Linked DNA regions of Caenorhabditis elegans. The protein of the gene in region 4 interacts with the protein of the main gene of each other region in a pairwise test. Each region holds a gene or a part of one and is shown on either strand. Other genes may lie near its edges. The genes, in order: spk-1, dnc-2, sas-5 and par-3.

Region 1 (7,944 bases), 3.8 Mb from region 4:
AATTCGGGTGGTTCAGAGCCAACCGATGATAACGATCAAATGACACGTCTTGTTCGCCGTGAATGGAATGATTCGTTGCCAACTGATGCAGTTCTCGTATTCGACATTTTTCTGGCTTATATGGATGCTCAACTCAATTCCAATTGTCTCGTTGGAGATAGTCGGTTAGTAATTGTTTTCTGGAATATATTAGATTTCAGTTAATCTGAAAAAAGTATACTTTTATAATCCTGTTTTAACGTTTAATTCAATAAATTGTGTTAAAAATTAAATCAATTTTCAGCCTTGACCAGCCATTCACCAGCCGATTCTGTGTCAAAAATGCTCAAAAACCATCATCTGCTCAACGTACTCCATTCAGTTTCTATCTTCACATGGTATGGCTTATAATAATTCACTCTTGTTCCTCCTCACTTCAAGAAATGTTTTTTCAGGTTACAAAATCTCCTCCACACGCTGAATTTGTGCACATTGATGAAAATGGATATGCAATTAAGTGCAACGTTCTCCGTCAATCACCCAATCTCTTCCGTGCTATCGCTCAATTTATTCATTTTGTGAAACATGAAAATCATGGATATCTGGATCAGACCTCAATCGGACCATCAGGAATTAACATGACATACGTCCTGGCGTGAAAAATTCAATTCAAGTTTTTATATGATGTTTATTATCGTATCCTTTAACAGGTTTTTATTTTCTCCCGCTTTGTTTTGTTGTTCTTTTGTTACGATCTCTCGACGACCACCCACATGAATCAATTATTTTTTATCTCGCTAACGTTACAAAATTCAATCATTTATGTCTACGAGGAAACCGAGATAATGAGAGAGAGAGAAGGGGAAAGGAAGCAATGAAGCACAGTAAAGATTTGAGAAAGGTTTATGCCAAATAGTTTGGGTATGTGAACAGACGGAGGAATATAAATGAAAAAGAAATGGGGGGAAAAGATGATCTACTGTTTGAGGCTGATAGAAGCATATGATGTTGTTGGGCAGAGGATAAGGACGATGTTCGTACAAAATAATTATATTATACCAGTAGCACTAAAGATCAAAAGGCGCTTCAACGAGACGCGCACGAGAGTGGCGCTAAACGTGCTTACTGCTCAGTCACTTCAGGAAGAACGGTGGTAAAAAAGAGAAAGGATGCGGTGATTCGATGTAGAAAGTGACAGGGAGAATGGGGAGATGAAGTAGTCGGATGATTGTTGAAATCCGAAACAATAAGTTAAACACTGTCTAGATTCAAAACATAAAAGTAAACACTCTGGAACAAAAGATTGGAAAATGCTGAAAAAAAAAATTAGCCCGAAGTGTTTTCTTTTCACCTATCGTAGGCAAGAAACGAGTAAAATTTGATTGAAAAAAGGAAAAACATAAAGATGAATATCGTCAAATTGACAGGAGAACATGTTTAACTCGGGAGATGTGCAAGAGGGCGTTGAAGAGTGACGAGACGGTGATGGAAGTGTTAACAAACAGGAGGGATTCGTGCACTACTGCAAATCCAGCTGAAAGCGTTCAATGTCAGAAATGTCGGTCGTTTCATTGTTTGTTATCACCCCCGATGGACCAGGTCGATTCATGTTGAACTCCTCCTCGTCGTCGTCGTCGCTGCCGCCCGCAGACCTGCTATTGGCACTCCTCTCGCTGCAATTTGCGTTTACATCCGCGTCGGTCCGAGCTTACGAACCTCGCCGATCTACTATCATTTTCGTCACGGTAAACTTCCTGATGCTCATTTCCGTCGAACGGCTCGGGAATCAATCCATCCGGAAACATCTTGCTCAGAAGCTGTAAAAATTATAGAGAAAATATTGAACAGACAATTAATATAAAACCTCAGGTGGACAATCAGATTTTGGCGCTCTTCCTCCAAATGGTAACAAGAACGGATGTTTCAATGCAATTTTGGCCGTAGATCGTTTCTCCTGATCGAAATCAAGCATCGGACGAAGGAAACTTTCAAACTGCTGCGCGTCTTCATGAGACCACTCGTATTTTTGTCTCAAAACCTCGTATAGTGACCATGGTTTAAGTTGGTGAATGTGAAGTAAGTGTCCATTTTTGTGGAAGAACTCTCTCCAATGTTTACCCTTTTTGTAAATTGACGGTGGAATTGCTCCAAGAAGTTCGGAAATGTGCGCAAGATGATCTTCATCGCGTGAATAGTTATCTCCTTGGTGTGGTTCAAACAAATAGTCACCGGTTGCCAATTCAAAAGCCATACACGCGGTACTCCAAATATCAGCTGGAGGTCCGTATCCTGAACCGATCAACACTTCAAGTGCTCTATACTGACGAGTTTGAATATCGTCCGTGTAGTGATGATTCACCCAACACGCGTTTCCGAGATCAGCGATTTTGACGTCGATGTCACAATATGGATCACCAATGTTGGGGCCAACTGGAGGAGCAGGCAGGATACCACCTGGAGGCAACTGGCTCATGGGCGAGCTCAGATATTCGGCGGATGGTGAGGCCAAATCTCCAAACTTGCTCTCCGGATCACTGAATGGAGTCAGCGTGGTTCTATCGAAACGATCAGGGCTCCTGATTTCCACCTGAAAATATAAATGGTTGTGGCTACAAAAATGAAATATATCATACCTTGTTTCTGTTTCCATTTTCATTGACAGTATCTTCCATGGTGACATCTTCCACTTGTGAAGCGTTGAAGTTCTCCAACTCCTGAAAAAATAAAAATTAAATTAATTGATTCAGATTTTTTTCTAAACTGAATTCACAACATGTTTAAGCTTATATATGATAAAAATTAGATACAGCACTGATGTATTTTCTGCAACAAAGACGAAACGACGAAAAAATGCAGACGGCATCCAGGGCGCAGCGGCAAAAAAAACCGAAACTAAATAGTCAGTGAATTTTAAAATAAAGAAACGGAAGGAGAAATGAGGTACGTGTGAATATACAAGCGTCTTCCGGTAATTTTGGTTGCAGAGTGGAAATAAGTGTGTGAATCGAGGAAGAGAGAGTAGAAGGGAACCATCATCATGTCAACACAACCAAACACTCACACCAACATTCGCATTCAGGATCACCTGTGTCAGATGATACGTCTGATTGCAGACGCATCCAACCTGTGGATAGAGAGATGGTGGTGGCGGTGGAACCGTTCTTGGAGACGATGGCGTATTCACACAAGAACTGCCTTGAAGCAGTTGGGGAATCGGACCATTGAAGAGCAAAGATGGAGGACGCATTCGGACACCATTTTGCTATATATCAGTTTTATCGTTTTTGTTTCGTTTTTTAAAAAATTATGATTGATAGAGTATAATCTTGATTTTTTAAAAATTACCAGCGTATTTCCTCTATTATTATTGCACATCGAAACTTTTCCAATGTTTGTCAACTAAGAAAATACTTTTTTATTTCTTTTTCTATCGTTTCAAAATTAAAATGTGAAATGATATCTTTGAAATGAACAGAGATATATTCTTTCAAATTTAAAAATTCAAGTATTGGGGTGCAATACTATTAGAAGAAGAACGGTATAGTGTTCAACTTACCGGTGCATTATTGTATGCCTCCTGCAGCCCATTAGCGTCCATTTTGAGGCCTTCGAGTCCAGCCAATTCCGCTTCCAACTTCTCTCGTTGTTTTTTGGCCTTCTTCTTCATCTTTTTCTTCTTGTTTTTCGTCATATTCTCCTGAGCCATTTTCACCAAATGATCCGGTGCAGTACTGACAGCCGATCCACTCATTTTCATATTCATCTTCCGGGCAACTACAGCATGTTGAGCCATAATCTGTAAAATTTTGAAAAATTAATTCCACAATTAATGGTTTTTAAAAAATACCTTGATCTCTTCTCGGCTCATCGTGATTAGCACATTTTCAGGTTTAATATCAGTATGAATGATGCCGCACTTTTCATGCATATATCCTAACGCCTCCAGAACTTGTCTGCATATTTTCCTAACTTGTTCCAGATGAAGTCCTCGATAATTTGAGCGTATAATCAGCTTTAACAGATTGCACCCAAGAACTTCAAACACCATAGCAACGTGCTGACCATTAATTCCCGTAACAGTGAATTCATCGAGCAATTGAACAACCTTGTGGCATCCGATGTCATTTGGATCAGCACTTCGTACGGATAGCAACAACTGAAATTATTCTCGTTTTATATTAGTCTTAATTTTTTTTTCTCGAGTCTCAGAGAATGTTGCATAAAAATCTATTGTTTCAGCACTACGTTACTTCAAAACTAACCTTAATTTCATCAAGAGCCGCTTCCGTGTAATGCTCCGCTGACTTCACTATTTTCATGGCAACAAATCGTTTGTCTTGAGTGTCCCACGCCAGCCAAACCGTAGAAAAGTGACCCCATCCAAGTTTACGAATCACATGATATCTCGCATTGAATACATCACCAATGTTGACTGGATGATATCCACCTCGTTTGTAATCACGTGGATCTTCTTGTTCTTCATCGTCAGATCCAAGTTGTTCTCCAGGATCCTGAAAATAAATATGTATAAATACAAAAAAATGAAATGCAAAAATCAACTCACCATTGGATCTTGGAATGAATCTGAATGTCCACCACCGCCGCCTCCAGGAGAATCACTTCGTCCGGGGCTCACACTTAAATCGTCCAAACGCTCTTCATTAGCATTGACTTCGGTCCTGAAAAATGTAAATTAAAAGACAGTTTCTGATTGATATTAGTAATACTAATTTAGTTAATGGAAAATAAATGTTACTTTTTGTTATTTCTTGGAATTATAGATGGACGAGGAATAGAAATAGAAGCTGAAGCGCATGCGGTTCCCAGATCATACTCGAACATCTGAATTTCGATATCTTCTGAGTCGTAAGAGGTAGCACTGTCGTCCCCGTCGTCGCCCGTTGAGGAAGACGATGTCGACGAGGAGACTGAAGAATCGATCGTCCCTTCACTCTCTTCACCCTCTTTTGCTGACCGCATTTCCACCGGAAGGTTATCGTATTTGGATGTGTCCTCATCGACAAGAACATCTTTTTCATTTTTATCGTCGTTCGAATGACACGACGCCAAATCTTCAGTTGCTGACTCTTCTGCTTCTTGTGATTCAATAGAGCTTACCGAATCAATTGATTCTTCGGTAGCATCATTCACATGAAAAGAATCATCTTGAGATTCAACGTCCTCTTCATCTGAGGCAGATACGCAAGAGTTCATGTCTTCATCAGAGCATCTTGAACCATCTTGTGATTGTAGCGACTGTTCATCGTCCTCATTCGAATGATCATTCTCATTTACAACACTTTTTTGTTGTACAGTTTCACCCTCTTCGCACAACGTTTCCGGTAGTTTACTGACTTCGGAAATGTTAGAGGTAACCATTAGAGCGTCTGATATATCGAAATTCGACGCGACGCCTCCATTATCTTCCGCACTAGCGAACACTAAATTAACTTCTGTCTCTTCATTTTGTGTACTCGTATTTATTTCTTGGGAAGAGATTTCTTCTTCTTCATTGGTCGAATTTTCTTTTTTATTTCTTTGCTTTACAAAGAAATAAAATCGATTCTGGTTGACCAAATCAACATTTATATGACAGGTTACGTCTGCAGATGATGCCAAAAGCTGTGTACAAATATCAGTTTCAGAATACGATTCGTGGTCATTCAGTTCTTCCGATTCCTCTGAATGAACACGAAAACGGCGGCGTCTCTGAACGGCTTCATCTTCGAATTTATAAAGTCGTTCTCGATGCTGGCTGAAGCCATTGAGCCATCTACAGAATAGAACCACAAACATGAATATGACAGTGGGGAAAACGTCAGTTAAGCTGAAGGAGCCGCCTGCTTCGACATCATTTGTTATACCCGAGTAATCGATAGCTGAGAGCGAATGTACTGCTCGACCGGCCAGCCTGACAGAAGAAAACTGGATTCAAAAGCAGGCGATTTTTTTTGAAATAGCGACCACGTAGAAGCGAGTTGCGACGCTTTGAGAGTGGGAAGGGGGATAAGGAAGATCAGCGGCGCGAGAAGTGTCTCGAGAATATTGGCGGCGGCCAACGAGGCGCGAGGAGCGACTTGAAGAAAACGCGATCGGTGTGAGAAGGAAGAGTGTTCAAGTGATAGTGATGTAATGATTGCGGCGCCCAACAAGAGATAGAGGAAATCCTGGGTCTCTCTTCCTTGTTTCAATCTTCAACTTGTCGGCCAGGTCGCGAAGAGGAGACAGCTGACAGAGAGAAAAGGCCAAGGTGAAGGAATAGAGAAGATAGAAAAGAAGGGACGAATGGATGGATGGGTGGATGGATGACGGACACACGAAGGTGGGATCATTTGAGACGAAGTGAAAAGACAACCAGTTGCTGTCATGAGAAAAGGACGATGCAACGATTACACCAAACAACTTATAATCATTTTGGTCCCGGTTTCAGCGATGTAATTAAAGCATATTAAAAAAAAAAACTCAAAATCTCACCTTTCCACGTGATTTGATCCGTTTGTTGTAACTGTTCCATTTTTCAAATTTGCGTTTTTCTCACCCGCTTGAGGAGATGTAGGCGTGTTTGGTGCTGTGGGCTGAAATATGAAGATTAAAAAAGCTTAATGGCAGAATTCTATTAAACTCACATTCAATCGGCGATATAGCCAATGTATTGAATGCAAAATACTAAGCATGCTCATAAATTTTCACTTTGTTTTGTTTTAAAACTAGTGTAAGAAAAGAAAATTAGTGGTTATCTCTACCCCTGGGTCATTAGCGGCTGCCACTGGCTCATAATGAAGCCGTTCTCATTTTACTTGAGGCAAAGGAGAAATCTAAGTTAAAACTGATGTGAGAATATATTAGTGGAGGGCTCGCATCCAAGAGAGTAAGCTCGGAAGTGCGTGAAATGAAGGGAATGCGACAGAGCTGTTTGAAGTTTTCAAATCTCTAGAGGCCATTAGAAAAAAAGAGTATTCTTTGGGTTCGATTTAGTGTCAGAACAGACTGAGCTTTAATTTTTCGAAAGTGTAAGTGTTTAGAAAAAGGGAAAACTTCTGAACAGAAACCGAAAAATGCTCACCTTTTTCTTATTGGTCTTCTTCTTCCTTTTCTTATTTGGCAGTGGTACTGTGCTGTTTTTTTCTGGTCCGCCCATATTCTACACTTAAACACGGTTCGTTTCACTGAAATTGATACAAATAAATAAAATAGGACTCATCAAAATTCGGGGAAAACAAGAAAACACTTCAGAGGAAAATGTTTTTGAGTTTTTAAAAGTTTGCGGAGGTTAATTGAACAACAAAAATGATGATAAAAAGATTATATCTGCCCGTACAAACATAAAATATAATTCTTGATAAGACCTATGCCAATTTCGAATGATAATAACGCTTTCAACGCGGAGGGCTCAAATTGGCGGCCGTTTTGCGCCAGAAATATCGATCTCGAGTTTGATCTGCAGGTTTGCTTGGGTACGGTGGGTTTGGCTTGCTGCCAAGAAGTGTATCATGCGCCTCCGTCTCTTATTTTCACACGCTCTCTCGCCTGCAATTCTCTATTTACAGTTGGTTTTTAGTTCGTTTTATCAGGAAAAAAGCGCATATTATTGCAAAAGTACATCATTTCTTTGTTTCTACATGTTAAATATTAATAGAGAATTTAAAAATAATGATGAGTGTTTAAAAAAATAATTTTTTTACTTTTCCCTTTTTATTTTATTTATTAATTTTTTATACTTCTATCAAAACTCAATCATTCAATATTCAGAATATACTCATTTTTGTGAAGATGAGCAGTTCGCTGCAATCAAATCGTCAGAGTCTGAATCGAAAAGTGGCCGTTATGGGATATCCTCATGTTGGTGAGCGTTTACGACAACTTTTTTTTGTAGAAAATCAAACATACCGGGAGCAAAATTGAACAAAGCAATGAAAAAATTAAAACAACTTTATTTAAACAAGGACATTCACGTTGAGAAACTTT
Region 2 (4,111 bases), 260 kb from region 4:
ATCAAACGAAAAACAAAAAAAAACAAAAAGCAAAGCAAAATCGCGACATAAAAAAATATACCGTATACCATCATAGACGCTGGCGCTCTAGGACACTTTTCGATAAAATGACTTTTTTTTTGCTCAAATTAGCGAATTCTTTATTTAGCAGATTGTGGAAATTTATCAAGACTTGAGTTTTCATGTCGGGACCAACCGAAATATTTCAGAACTTTATCAGTGACCCACGATCAATGTTCCCGAAGATGGTGAGAACTAAAAATGCTTTTCACTTCTTGCAATATTTCATGGGAACTTTTCGACGAATGTTCCGAAATAAAACAGAAATGATTGAGCATTTCAATTATTATGATGATCAAGTAAAAGGAACTGATTGTCATATTCAAGAGGAATTGGATTTTGCCAGATTTAAATCATATTTCGATAGATATACAAGAACTCATTACAATCCTGAAATTCGTATTATCTTTGCAATAATGACTAAAGATTCTTCTCATATGACGGTTGAATTCCATGTTACATCACAATCTTGGTTTGGATTCGAAGATCATTTTCATATGATTATCAGAGCGGTTAATGTGAGTTTTCGCGAAAAATCTGACTTAGAAATATGAAAATTTCAGGACGAGAATGTCGGATGGGGAGTTCGTTATCTGAGTATGGCCTTCAATTGCTGAATAGAGATTGGTTCATTCGGAAATATGGAAAGCAAAAATAAAGCACATAAATATATCGAACAGATTAGTTAATGTTGCATTGTCCGTACACAATAAATTATGAATTGTTTCTCTAGAAAGGTCGATAAAATCACTTCAAATCTGCCACTTTTGCCTCGAGAAGCTTCAGCTTTTCAACCACTGACCCGATTTCTTGCTTTCCTTGGGACTGTAATTTCAATAATTTAATTTGTTTATATTCCTCGAAACAATTAAAAAACACACCTCATACTCGATAATCGCTTCTCTTCCTTGCGCGACTTCCTTTTCGAGTTTTTCTCTGATAGTTTTCAAATGTGATAGTCCACCGGCAAAGTGTTGAACTTGTTCGTGAAGACGGTTCAATGCTTTAACCTTATTAACATTGCTTGGAAGAGATGAGCAAGCGACATCCCATTTTTGCATAAGCTCCAGAATTTCATCAACTTTCTTGTCAAGATTCTCGTCGATATCATTGTTGGCGCGTGTCTCGTCGATTTTTTCAAGTTTGGTAAGCATCATATTCAAACGTTGTTCAAGACCGGAGACATACGAATGATTAAGCGTTTCGCATCTCAAACATTTTTCATACGTTTTTATTTTTTTAAATTTAAGATATCTCACCTGAGTTTGAGATCTTCAATGGTGTCAAGTACGGGAGCTGATGGAATAACCGAACTTCCAATAACTTGTTCGATTCTTCTCAACCTATTTTCAAGAGTTGCCACTTTCGAGTCAGTGCGAACATTTGGTAACTCAACATCATGCTCAACTCGTGCAGTTTTTCCATTTGACTGAGCCACTTGCAACGTTTTCACTTCTTTCTCTAGATTCTCAAGAACCTCAGCGTTGAGCAAATCCGTTTTAAGATTTTCATCAGCACGAATTTGTTCATTCAGATCGGCGACTTCGTACAAAATGCGATTCAGTTTTTCGGCTGCAGTCTCGGTTCCCGAAAATCCTGCACCAGTAACTTCCAATACGTATTGATTGTTTCCAAATGCGTGTCGCCGCTTTTTAGCAATCGAGTCAGAAAAATCTAAATTTAAAAAAAAGATGATAAGTAATATTATTTTAAAATTACCGCTTGAAGTCAAGTTCAGTACCCGGTTTTTGTACTTTTTGAGAGCTTCGTCAACGTCAACCGAAATCTGTAAAAATCAGAATTCACTAAATATTTATATTATTTAAATTAATTAAATACAAACCAGTTCGATATCCGGATGAGTTGGATTGTCATTTTCAGGTTCACTTTTTTGAACTTGACTTGCAGCTCCGTCAGACTCGTAGATATCTTCTTTTCCAATAGATGACATTTTGACGCAAGATTTGAGAGTTTCTAGAAAACAGAATTTGATTTAAAATATTTAGGATCAAACGGCAAAAATTTAGAAAAATGAATAAACAAAATGTATGATAGGTTAAAGTAATAAATCGTGCTAGAAACATCAAAATGGCCGTGGAATTGATTGCGAAACAAGTAAATTAGATTGTCCGAGAGGACTACACACAACAATGAGTTACTGCGCTCTACCGGCACGTATTAGAGATTAGAGGCGACAGAGTTCAGTTTTGGCAAAAACGTTCGATTGTTCGAATTTAAACAGTTTTATTGTATTTCGTTCTTTTTATTTATTTTTCTGTAAATTTATTAAATTTTTAAGTTTCAGATGTACTCAGCAAATAGATCTCATCGCGCTGAAACAAGAAATCGCTCAAAAGATGAACTCCGAAAGGTAAACAATCAACTTTTCCAAAACTAAACTGATATTAAGATTTTCAGGTTATCAACTCATTGGAAAAAGTTCGTCGGTGGGAAAAGAAGTTAGTTCTTATCAAGGACACAAATATTCGGATCTACAAATGGGTTCCGGGTAATTTTTTATTTTAACACGTATTTCGGTATTTAGAAACTATTTATATATAAATTTATATGAAATACTTTTTTAAAATAGTAATTATTAAAAAAAAAACTTCACACTTATATTTTTGATACAATTCAATGACTCTGCATTATGAATTAATAACATATTCTGCTATATAAAAGTTTTGAATTTCTCAAAAAAAAAACCAAACTTTCAATACAACTTTTTCAGTGAGCGCTCAAAACATAATGGCTCCTCCAAAGATCAAGGAAGTCAAAGAAGTGGATGAGGAGAGCAATCAAGTCCCATCTGCTGAGAATTCCCAGGATTCCACCAGCGTTACCCAACCACCACCACAATTCGATATCAACGAAGATTCCAATTTTTCCACTGGCGATCACTTTGATAGTGACTCCAATCAAACTTTCGAGCCACAAAACTATCAAGGTGGAGCCACTGGTTCAACGGATTTCAGTTCGATGCGCGACGCTGAAATGACATCAAAACAACCATAAAATCTTTATCTAATGATCTCTAATCTGTACTCATTTTGATTTCATGTTGTATCATATAATCCTGATTCATTCCGAACTTTATCTCATTAATTCAAAAATTTTCATGTTTCATCACATTTATTTTTAATAATTTTTTGTATTCACCAGTTAAAATAACAAGTTAAAACTTTAAATAAAACCCATTTCAGTGCTGTTTTTACAAGTGAATCTGCCATTGAGAGATTTAAATCTTAAAAGATGAGTATCAAAATAGTAATTGTTGCATAGATCAAAGAAAAATGTGAAGAAGAAGAATTCAGAACAAGCTTCTCATTGCGAGGGCAGAATCCGAAAAAAGATTGTAAAGGTTGGGGATATCCATCAGCAATATCAAATACAGATCGGGATGAATTCATTCGAAAAACTTGATTTCCACGTAGAAGATGAATTTCTTTTTCATAAGTGAAGGCAGAATGTACTCCTTTTGGAACTCTCGCCCAATTCAGATCAGTATCTTTTGGATACCTTTCATCAACTCTTCGATGATACATTTTCTCGTCTAATTTCCAATATCGAGATCCTTTCCAAATGTATACAGCAGGCGGACTGAAATGGAAATTATATTTGATTTTATTAAGTTGTGGTCCTGAACGAACCTTTTCAGCTACCGTACCCTCAGAGTAGTTTCTCAAAATGTATTATGTACCGTCTTTTTGGAAATATTTAAATAAATGTTTTTTTTAAACACCAAGATAATCTTTCAAAGTATCAAAGTAAATCGGTGAAAAGCTGCTAAACGATCGCGGGTACGATATCTGAAAAGTTTCGTTCGTGCCAAGACCCGAGTATTTTTGATTAGCAATGTGTTACGTTTTGGTAACATTTCAAACTTGAAACAAATATGTTAAAAAGTAACGATTTTTCAAGTTTACGAACTTTCGAATTTTCGCTGAACCTACAATTATCATTACTCAATATTTATTTTTTACTAACTGCTTTGATTACTCACTTGAAATAATGCCACTCATAAGCCAAATCCACGTATTTCTCATTAATT
Region 3 (4,452 bases), on a different chromosome or scaffold from region 4:
TTTCTATAGATATTTTTCTGTAAAATTTTTTACTGGTTATAGATGTGAGTTTGATATTATAGGTGTGGGTCGCAATACTATTAGAGAAAATGGGGTATTATTTTTAGTGATAGATTTTACTTTAAACTAGGGCTGAATAATAAACGAACCTGGTTGTACTTTGATTGAAAACCATACTCTTGACATGGAGACAAATTACAGGATAAATATAACTGAAGTTTTGTAGTTCCCAAAAGGAAAAACGTTGCCTTAATGTATATAAATTATTATTTTTGCATCACATTCAAAATTATTTTTTAGATTATATAAAAAATATTTAAAAGAAATGAGATAAAAATTGTTTATGAGTGGATGATAATACAGTTAAATCATACTTTGAAAATTACCCGAAAAAAAACTACAAAAATGCCAACTCTTAAAAATAACTTGTTTTTCATAATACAGATAATTCCAGGAATTCAAATATCGTCTTATTGGGAAGTTCTTGTTTGATTTCCACAGGTTGCCATACATGAGTTGTAGTTGGGGAAGTTGTTGGCATTTCCGAGAGTTCCATAGAATGAGAAACGCATGCAAGTTGTGTATTTTGGAACCCAGAAGTATTTGTCACTTTTCTCTCCTCCGACAGCAAACTTTCCAGAGTCATATGTCAAGTTGCAAAGATAGTCTGTGAATTTGAAATTTAAGAATAAAACATTTAAACATTTGATGCTTACTGGATGTTGGACAACAGAATGATTGAATACAGTTATGACCCTGTGGGCAAGTATTAGCTCCTGCTGAGCATCTCACTGGTGTCAAGTGGTCAGTGTCATAGGTAGCAGAGCAAGCAGCTTAAAATTTTTAGAATAATTGCCATAGTTACTAGCTAACCTCACTTACACTTCATTTGAACGGTTTCATCACTTGACTCCGAGTCTCTTTGAGCTTGAGCATTGGTACAAGCTGATCTACACTCTTGTGCACTACTGAACCGGTTACTATTACCACCACATCCCTGATACATGAATGGTTGACACGTTCCAAGTCTTGGAAGATAATAGAACATTCTAGAAGAACTGTTCTCAGCGCAAGTATTTCCAGAGTCCCGTGCAGCAAAACAGTCAACAGAAGTCGATTGAGCCGCAGTGAAAGACAATAGGGAGAGAATCTAAATAATAATTACATTTAAATTAACTGAAAGTCGTATGTAGATCTAAAGTAGATCTATTTCTGGATTTAGTAGTTTTTAATTTAACTAAGTTTCAAACCTCATAATTAAAAGGATTTTAAAACTCACCACAGCCAATCTAAGTGCCATTTTAGTTTTGCCACGTGAAAATGTTGTACTCGAGTTCTGGATTTCTTTTAAATAGGCCATCGAGATTCCCGCCCCTTTAAACTATTGTACTGGCAATCGTGTAAGCTCTTGCTACCGTGCAACACCACCAACAGTCAAATCCAAATTCCAGTTTTGATCTGACCCCACGGAGCAAACATTGTGTGTATAATGTACATATACTGTTGGCTCCTTCGCACTGACTTTTTTACCACGCTGATTTATTTTGAGACACTTTTTCTGTGTCTCGCTGTCTATCTGTGTACAGAGGAAAAATTTTCTCGGAATTTTTAGAAAACCAGTCGGGAGTGTTTACTTGTTTTTTAATACTTTTAATACATTGGAAAATTGTGTAGGTTGAGAAGATTTTTTGTTTGAAAATCTGTCAATCTAAATTTGTTCAACTGATCAGGAACATTCTTCTAAATTGCAGATAATATGAGAAAGTAGAAAATTCTGTTGTTTTATAATAATATCATTTAATTTAATTACAATCTTCTTTCGTCCCCGAATGGTCATGCGAAAAGAAATGTGAGAAAATATACAATGTGCGCGCTCATCTTGCAAAAAATGTGCGCGGGGGTTGCAGCAGAGGCCACGCCCCCGCGACACCAACGCGCCAATTTTAAAGAAAAAACGTTTTATTTTCCAATTTCATAGTTTTAACAGAAATGACCTCGCATTAAGCGGGAATGAATAATTACGACGACTTACCCTGCTCTATTTACTTCAAAAAACCAACTGGTGAGTTGTTTTCGATATAAAAGTGTTAAAATTGCCAATTTAGTCCAGGAGTTTGTGGATCAACCGAGAGTCTTCGAAGATTCTGAAGTCCCTGCCTTTCAAGAAGTTCTTCAGCTTCCACAAGAAAGGACAAAACCCCCAGTACCATCTACGCAGCCAATTGTCGCCGCTGTAGAAGTAGCCAAGAAAAAATCGTGTCTTTCGGCTCCGAAACCAAGAAAAGAGCCACCTTCGCATCCAGCGCTTCGCCAAAAAACAGTTGCGTTTGGAAAAACAGTTAACGTTTCCCAAACTGTCGAGGTAATTAAATTAAAATTGTTCCATGGCATAATTCCACTAAATTATCTTTCAGGGAACATCTCGGAATTCAAAAAAAGTGCTTGCTTCAACAATGTCTGCCCAAAATACGACAACGACTGAAGAACAGGCAGCTGAAAACTGGCGGGACGCTATGAAAACAGAACTGCAAACGATACGAACAGAGATTCAAGAAGAAACGGCCCGGCGACAAGAAGAGCTCAATGCTCAAAATCTTGTTAAAATGCAAGAATTGATGTCAAACTTCTTTCAGAGTATGTTTGAATATATATTATCCCATAAATTCAATAAATAATAATTTTTCAGAGATAACGATTCCTAAACAGCAAGCGATCGAACCAGTTGAAAAAGACAAAGAAAATTTTCATGAGAGTCCTCGTCAATCAAGACAGCAGAAGCCAGCTAGTAAAGTGAGAATTCAGATAAAAAATAAATCAAAAAGTACTCCGTTTTAAGATCGCTTCGGCACGAGAAGTTATCAAAAGAGACGGTGTTATACCTCCAGAAGCATTAACAATTATTGAGCAACGCCTTCGCTCGGACCCAATGTTTCGCCAACAAATTGATAATGTTCTAGCAGACGTGAGTAGTGTATTTAAATCCGATAGAAATAGTTTGTTTTCAGGCTGAATGTGATGCTAACAGAGCTGCATATTCTCCACCACCACCAATGTCTGAAGTTAGATACGGATCTGGTGTGAATCCTGCTTTGATGAGAGAAACACTTACGGTAGAACGAAGTATTCGATATGACAACGGACTCGCTTCTATTGATTCTAGACAGTGGACAAATGAGAGACGTGATAATCGTGGTAATTTAATTTTTCAATATTCAAACACAGAATTCGTCCGCTAGAATTGTATAAATATAATAATTCACGCATTCCAAAATGTATCAAATAATTCATTAAAAATGTTTGAAAGTTGATAACCATTCGTAGTGAAAACACTTTATACTACGAAATGATTTTAAGATGAAATCCTCAAATCAGTTGAAAAATTTGAATTAAAAGTCAAAAATGAGAAGTCTCTTCACTATTCAAAAAAACCTTTTCTAGCTCCTGACTCATACCGTACCTACGAACCGGATCAACCATGTCACTCACTCTATCAAAAGGGTCAAAGTATTAGCTATTATCCGTCAGAAGCAGCTGGAAAAACGACAGCTAGAAACAATCGAACTGGATACTACGTGGAAGATTCATCAGATCATGAAGAGGATGTTGTAGTCAATAAACGGGGACAGAACTATCACGAGCAAGCGGTACCTGAGACTCCAGCTGAACGAGAACGCCGTATTCGTGAAAAATACGCTCGCAGGAAATGATATCAAATGTGTTTAACTCTTGACGTTTTAAAATTATCATTAATCACTACGTGTAATGTCTGTGAATTGTACTAAAACCATTACTTCCAGCTGTGACCTGAATAAATTTTGAATTTCATCGATTCTTTCTCATTTGATCATATGATCGAGATAGTCTCGAACTTAATTCGATTTTCAGCACTTCACACTTCTGTCATTGTTTGACAAGTACCAACTTGACCTTTCCATCGGTCTCCTTCAAGAGTTTCATTTGTGTACGAAATAAAAATGAAAATTCTAGTAGTGTACGTGTTAATTGGAGAAGTTCTACGAATTTTTAAACTACAAGTTCATAACTTTTAAAACAAACTGTTATGGCATGTACACATGTGTTCCTGTATTAAAACACTTGCTGTCTTCAGACTTTCCAATTGAAAAGATACACTTTCACTTGATTTTCCATATGCAAGCAAGCGTTTTGAACTATCACTACCTTTCTCTATTTTTGATTTCTCTTCCTGTTGACTTTTGCACCCGAATTTTTTGAATTTCTTTTGTCAAAATCTAGTAAATATTGACATTGATTATTTATAGAGAGTAGGTGGAAAATTAGAAAATATAAAAGATTAGGTGTGTCTTGTTCATCTTTGCAAATTTGTTTTTTGGCATTTTCAAAAAGTTCGAGAGAGCACCCAGATGTTTGGACTTCAACTGTTCCATTGTACTCTCCCCATTTATAAACTCTGCGATTTTTCCCATTTCTCTC
Region 4 (5,144 bases):
TCCACATTCGGAATGCAATTCAACTTTTTTTTGTGTCATGATTATTGCCGTCATCATCATCACCCGCCCGCTAAGGCCCCTTTCACAAATAACGAACGGTTTGGTGTTGTGGCCCATAAAAGTACCGAGCAAGGTCAGTCGGCGAAGAGAGGAGAGACGGTGTTATTCATGCATACCTCTACACAAATAGTGTCTCGGTCAATCGGACCTATGAGTCTCATTGACATTAAGTTGAGGTATGAACGTCGATGGCAATACCTCGCCTGCTCTTTTTTTTTCGATAAAAGGCAATTAAAAATATCTTTCTTGTAGATTTTTAAACTTTCGGAAAAGCAATCGTAGAAAAGTGCAAAAAGTTGATTGTTCAGTTTGAGCTTTTCCATTCAGGCTCTCCGAGCATTTGACAAGCCGCGCGAGCTCCGCTGGTAACTCACTGTTTTTCTAATATCCAATCGCGCACCGCTGCGCCAATCTCTGTTCATTTCGTCGTTTGCCAGCTCAACTAATAGTCGGGACAGCACCCACTTCATATAACTTATTGACACGACTATAATTTGTCATTTTGCTTCTCCAATCCATCTCATGAAATATGTGTGTCGTGGCGTCAAGTTGGCATATGCAATGAGGTGATGGCTCTCTAACTCTTGTGCAATACAGCTGGTGCGCACTGACTCAACCTTCTCTTTTTTGACATTTTACATTAGGAAAATGCCAATCAGAAAGTGTAATGGTACACAATATGTGACCTATAGTCGGTTTTAGTTTATTTTACGCCGAAAATACGGTACCCGGTCTCGACACGACAAACTGTTGTTAAATGCGAAAAGGGTTGCGCCTTTAAGGAGTACTGTAATTTCAAACTTTCGTTGCTCAAGAATTTTCATTGAATTTTCATAGCGTTCCCCACATATATGTATTTAACAAAACATTTTCGTATCGTATTTTTGGAAAAACGCAAAATTCCGCGTCTGATTTTAAATCACAAACCGACAATAAGGTTTTCCGAATCCAAGAAAAATTGAATTTTCCCCAAAAAGTAGAGCAATTTATTTTCAAGTCTTTCCTGTTTTTTTACAAATCCATCCCAGCACAACTCGGTGTTCTTCCAAAAACTCGTCTCCTCCAACATGCTCATTATAATGGATCATCATCTTCTCTAGAGGATCCTCTGTGTGACTTCTCCACTTGACAAATTGCCCAAGTGGAAATAAAATAGGCACATTTGGAAATCCTTGGTGAGCACTGAGAGAGAAAATAGAGTAGAGAGAATCCAAAAATGTAATTGGATAACCACCTTCCTCCCGTTCTGTCTTCCAGAAATGTCCTCCCATTTTCCCAGCAAAGGTTTCATTGTTTGTTTTGATATCAAAAATTCATTTATTATTTAGCTATGCGATGAGCAATGCGATGACTGCGAATTCAGTTTTAAGGCCGCTTTTTCTTAAATAAAATTTAAAAAAATTTGTAGACTTGTGAAATTGAGAAATACAGTAATCATTTTTCGGAACAGATGGGTACGGTACGCATTCGCGGCGAGACCTATCGCATGGCGGGAAATTTTTTTTGAAAATTAAAATCTGCAAAAACTTCAAATTTTTAGATTGTCTATTGATTTATGTGCGATATTTTGAGTTTTTTCTCATTCCGTCAACTAATTCTCGTCCAGAAGATCAATTAAGCTATTCAGATCTTGAAAACACGAAAAAATCCGATTGAAATCGGAAATCGGGCCGATTTTTTTCAGAATATTGTTTTTCGAGCTGAATTTGTCTGCGCAAAAACAAAACTTAAAACGCTGAATTTTTTGTATTACAGATTTGAAAACTCAAGAATAAAATCACTAAAAAGCTAATTTTTGTATCCTTTTAAAATTGGCGCGGGCAATTCGGACAAATTTTTAAGATTTTAATGTTTTCCCGCTAAATTCAAACTTTTTTCCATCGCTGAGCACACTAAATCATTTGCTCTTTCTCTCTTACTGTTACTTACTTCACAGACACACCAATCATTTTCTTATCACTCTAATATATATTTTCTTGCAGATAGAAAAGGTCTCGCAGAGCAAATAGGTGCGAAACGAGAGAGCCTCTCGGGAGGAGAAACGTTGATTGGTTTGTTAAAACTTCTTTTCATTTCATTTAATTTTTCTTTATATCTGCTCATTTTCAGATCGATCATCATGTCGGCTTCATCCACGTCATCATCTAGCACATCGTGTCCGGAAGGTGGCGAACCATCGGGAAGCTGTAAAAGCAGCGACGAGGGTGAATCGACACTGAAAAAACGAATGCAACAGTACGGAATTGCGAGTGGTTACGCGAATTCCTCAATATCTACACTTGATAGAGTGCGGAAGTTTTTTTTTCTTAAAAATTGGAGAAAAAATCTTGAATTATCTTTCATTCACGCTTCAGAAATCTTCAATTCAAACTGTCAACAGTTCTACCCGATTTTTGTTTCAAAAAAATGCTTGAACTGCTGAGAATTCCATTTCTGCAAATTTTCATACTGCAAAAATGCGCATTTTAAAATGATTTTGTAAATTCAAATTTTTAAGTCAAAATCCGAATTTTGTACACATTCTATTTTTGAGTTGGAAAGTTTAAGATCCTTTTCAAATTTGAAATTTCTGGCTTTTTCGATTATAACACCGAAATCTGGAATTATTTTTTACTTTAAAAAATGTGAAATCCATTGAATATTTGAAACCTTGGTTGTAATTTATAATTATAAGCAATATTTTAATTTTTCAGAGCCAATATCAATCGCTTCCACTGAATGGAACTCGCCGAGTCACTGTTCAATTTGGACGAATGAAAATTGTGGTACCATGGAAGGAATCGGTGAGCTTTTTTTTCAAATGTTCAATCAATTTTTTAATATTTTTCTTGTTCAGGATCAGACAGTTGGTCAACTAGCAGACGCAGCACTTCTTCGGTACAAAAAAGCGAGGGGAATGGTAATTTTTTTTCTCCAAAAATTTGCAGAAAAAAGGTCATTTTGGAGGCAAAAAAGCGTATCCCAAATTTTCCCATGAATACAGTCAGTCGGGAATAATGAAAGGAAAATCAACAAGAAGCACGCAATTTTATCTTCGTCTTATTCTCTTCCAATATTATTCCATTCCCGAAGAAGCAGCAGCCCCCTTTCGTTTTCTCGGAGAGGTTAATTCGGCTGAGAACAAGGCCGCACCGATGAGGATGTGTTGAATACCATTTCTCTGTTCATTTTCACCAAATAATCCCCTTCCTTTTCCGCTTTGGAGAAAAAGAAAGTTTGGAAGAGACGCAGACAGTGTTACAGTGTGTTGTTGGCACACAACACTGTAAATAATAGATATTTCTTCATTCTCTCTCATAAGTGACTGTCAAAAAGTTTTACTATTTTGTGGAGTTGAACTGTGGTGCTCTTGGATTTTTATTTAGTTACTCCTGATCTTCTCACTTTAAACATTAAGACTTAGTGGTTATCATCCCAATTTATATTTACTAAGCAGTAAAACATTTATCTTGATTGAATATCCAATGATCGCTTCATTTTCTTGAAAATCTCTACAAATTGAAGGCAATTTTCTCCTCTTGGACCACCAACCATAACTAGCGAATCCTAGCCAAAGAGGGATTAATTTCCAAAATGGATTCTGGTCGAATTTGACTTTAATCGGCGTACGCTGTGCGGCATGGAAATTCCGGAGGCCGTCGCCTCGTCCCGATTGGATTTTGCAATTTGCAATAAACGGATTGATTTCGACGCGCTTGGTAGATTTTTGTTTATATAACATGCATTGGTCTCTCACCATGTTCACTTCATGGCGGATTTTGTACGAATCTCTTCCCCCTCATCATCATCGTCGTCGATCATCATGCTTCCTGTTCGCGCAGGTTGTAGCATTCGTTTCGCAGTAAATTAAGTTTTCCGCTGTAGGCAGGCAGTTGATCTAAATAAATCTGATAAGAATTTATTCGAAGGCTTAAGATTTGTTATCTCTCTCTCTCTCTCTCTCTCAGTTTTGTTGATTTAGATTTATTTGACGTTGAGGACGATATAATCATTATCAGCAGCAACAACCAACTTGAAATTAATCAAATGGAATGTATAGTTGGACGTTGTGTAATAGGAGTACGAGTAGAAAGTGTGAGTCAATTGCAGAAATTAGTGTTTTGTTAGGAAGTTGGGCGCCAGTTTTAAACCCGCCGCCTACACTTTTGATATTACGATGAGCACGGTTCAAAGGCAGGAGTTTTTTTTTCAGCCGTATCAGACTTTATAAATTTTCCATTTACTAATTTGATCCAGTTTTTATGGTCATGTAACATGTAAAGCTGTGTTTAGTCCCAGCCGAAAAGAAAATTGAACAGAACTCAAAGTTTTCGTGTGACTAAAAAAATATGGTGAGTCACCTTGGAATGTTTTTGTTCGGTTTTGAATTTCAATTCAAAAATTGTGAACAACTTTGGCGTTATTCATAATTGTGGAAGTTTTGAATTTCAGTTGAAAAATGAAAATTGTGATGTGAAAACCTTGAATTATTGTTCCTTTCAAACTTATTGTATTTGACTCCAAAGGCCTCCGAATAGCTCCAGAACATGTGAATTGGCAGCACTTAAAGTTGTTCATCTATCTCTATCTCTCTCTCCTCGCCATCATCGTGAAATAAAGCACCCCCTATTCTACATGCAATGTCATAACACTCATATCTCATGTTATCGCCATCCTCCGCTGCCACTACGAATCATCTGTTCTGAAAGCAGCTTTTTTTCGGGTGGTTTTTGTATTTTTCTTTACTGATAAACAGCTTGTGTTGTTGTTGTTCGCGACGAGAACAAATATCATGGACATTTTACCAACTATTGAGAAGATAAGAAGAAATGGTTAGGAATGATGTGTATATAGACATCTTCCCCTTTCTATCTCTCTTCCCTTCTCTTCCGAGTGTTTCTGTTTCTATTTGTCGTTCGATCTGATGATTGTCGTCATTTTTTCTCAGCCGCTCCTCTTCTTGATGCCCTTGCGCAACCCCACCGTGGCTTACTTGTTGGGGGGTCTTGGAGCGAAGAGCACACATAAATGATATGAGTCATTCCGTACAGTCATCCTGTATTCTTCTTGTTCTCACAGTTTACCCGTGCTCGATGCCTTTTTAT

What was found.
Region 1: the proteins of par-3 (region 4) and spk-1 interact in a two-hybrid assay, tested with the Caenorhabditis elegans proteins (one study listed by BioGRID).
Region 2: the proteins of par-3 (region 4) and dnc-2 interact in binary tests that used the Caenorhabditis elegans proteins (3 or more experiments, as listed by UniProt).
Region 3: the proteins of par-3 (region 4) and sas-5 interact in a two-hybrid assay, tested with the Caenorhabditis elegans proteins (one study listed by BioGRID).

What each region holds. Positions count from the first base shown.
Region 1 is NC_003281.10:9,455,815-9,463,758, reverse strand, and holds spk-1 (Serine/threonine-protein kinase spk-1), read right to left. Parts: upstream 6,232-7,944; 5' UTR 5,776-6,231; coding exon 4,736-5,775; intron 4,659-4,735; coding exon 4,544-4,658; intron 4,491-4,543; coding exon 4,242-4,490; intron 4,136-4,241; coding exon 3,827-4,135; intron 3,776-3,826; coding exon 3,536-3,775; intron 3,242-3,535; coding exon of another isoform or gene 3,065-3,241; intron 2,694-3,064; coding exon 2,613-2,693; intron 2,567-2,612; coding exon 1,844-2,566; intron 1,797-1,843; coding exon 1,696-1,796; intron 1,653-1,695; coding exon 1,499-1,652; 3' UTR 752-1,498; downstream 1-751. Other genes in the region: B0464.6 (uncharacterized protein), read left to right, coding at 1-164, 284-377, 435-638; rheb-1 (GTP-binding protein Rheb homolog 1), read left to right, coding at 7,750-7,822. UniProt on the Caenorhabditis elegans protein: Required for embryogenesis and germline development in both adult hermaphrodites and males. SR-protein kinase (SRPK) that binds directly to and phosphorylates the RS domain of rsp-3/CeSF2 in vitro.
Region 2 is NC_003281.10:5,923,721-5,927,831, forward strand, and holds dnc-2 (putative dynactin subunit 2), read right to left. Parts: upstream 2,035-4,111; 5' UTR 2,012-2,034; coding exon 1,904-2,011; intron 1,847-1,903; coding exon 1,780-1,846; intron 1,735-1,779; coding exon 1,320-1,734; intron 1,270-1,319; coding exon 942-1,269; intron 886-941; coding exon 808-885; 3' UTR 678-807; downstream 1-677. Other genes in the region: C28H8.2 (uncharacterized protein), read left to right, coding at 210-578, 624-677; bcl-7 (BCL7-like protein), read left to right, coding at 2,366-2,431, 2,479-2,569, 2,792-3,075; zmp-1 (Matrix metalloproteinase-A), read right to left, coding at 3,306-3,660, 4,064-4,111.
Region 3 is NC_003283.11:11,608,769-11,613,220, forward strand, and holds sas-5 (Spindle assembly abnormal protein 5), read left to right. Parts: upstream 1-1,968; 5' UTR 1,969-2,010; coding exon 2,011-2,062; intron 2,063-2,105; coding exon 2,106-2,362; intron 2,363-2,414; coding exon 2,415-2,634; intron 2,635-2,686; coding exon 2,687-2,790; intron 2,791-2,836; coding exon 2,837-2,962; intron 2,963-3,005; coding exon 3,006-3,192; intron 3,193-3,438; coding exon 3,439-3,707; 3' UTR 3,708-3,828; downstream 3,829-4,452. Other genes in the region: piit-1 (BPTI/Kunitz inhibitor domain-containing protein), read right to left, coding at 471-667, 717-833, 883-1,150, 1,280-1,300.
Region 4 is NC_003281.10:5,662,193-5,667,336, forward strand, and holds the start of par-3 (PDZ domain-containing protein), read left to right. Parts: upstream 1-2,040; 5' UTR 2,041-2,111; intron 2,112-2,169; 5' UTR 2,170-2,179; coding exon 2,180-2,347; intron 2,348-2,753; coding exon 2,754-2,843; intron 2,844-2,896; coding exon 2,897-2,959; intron 2,960-5,144. UniProt on the Caenorhabditis elegans protein: In cooperation with pkc-3, required for establishing cell polarity and regulating spindle orientation in the early embryo. Localization is crucial for recruiting par-6 and pkc-3 to the peripheral apical cortex and restricting par-2 to basolateral surfaces.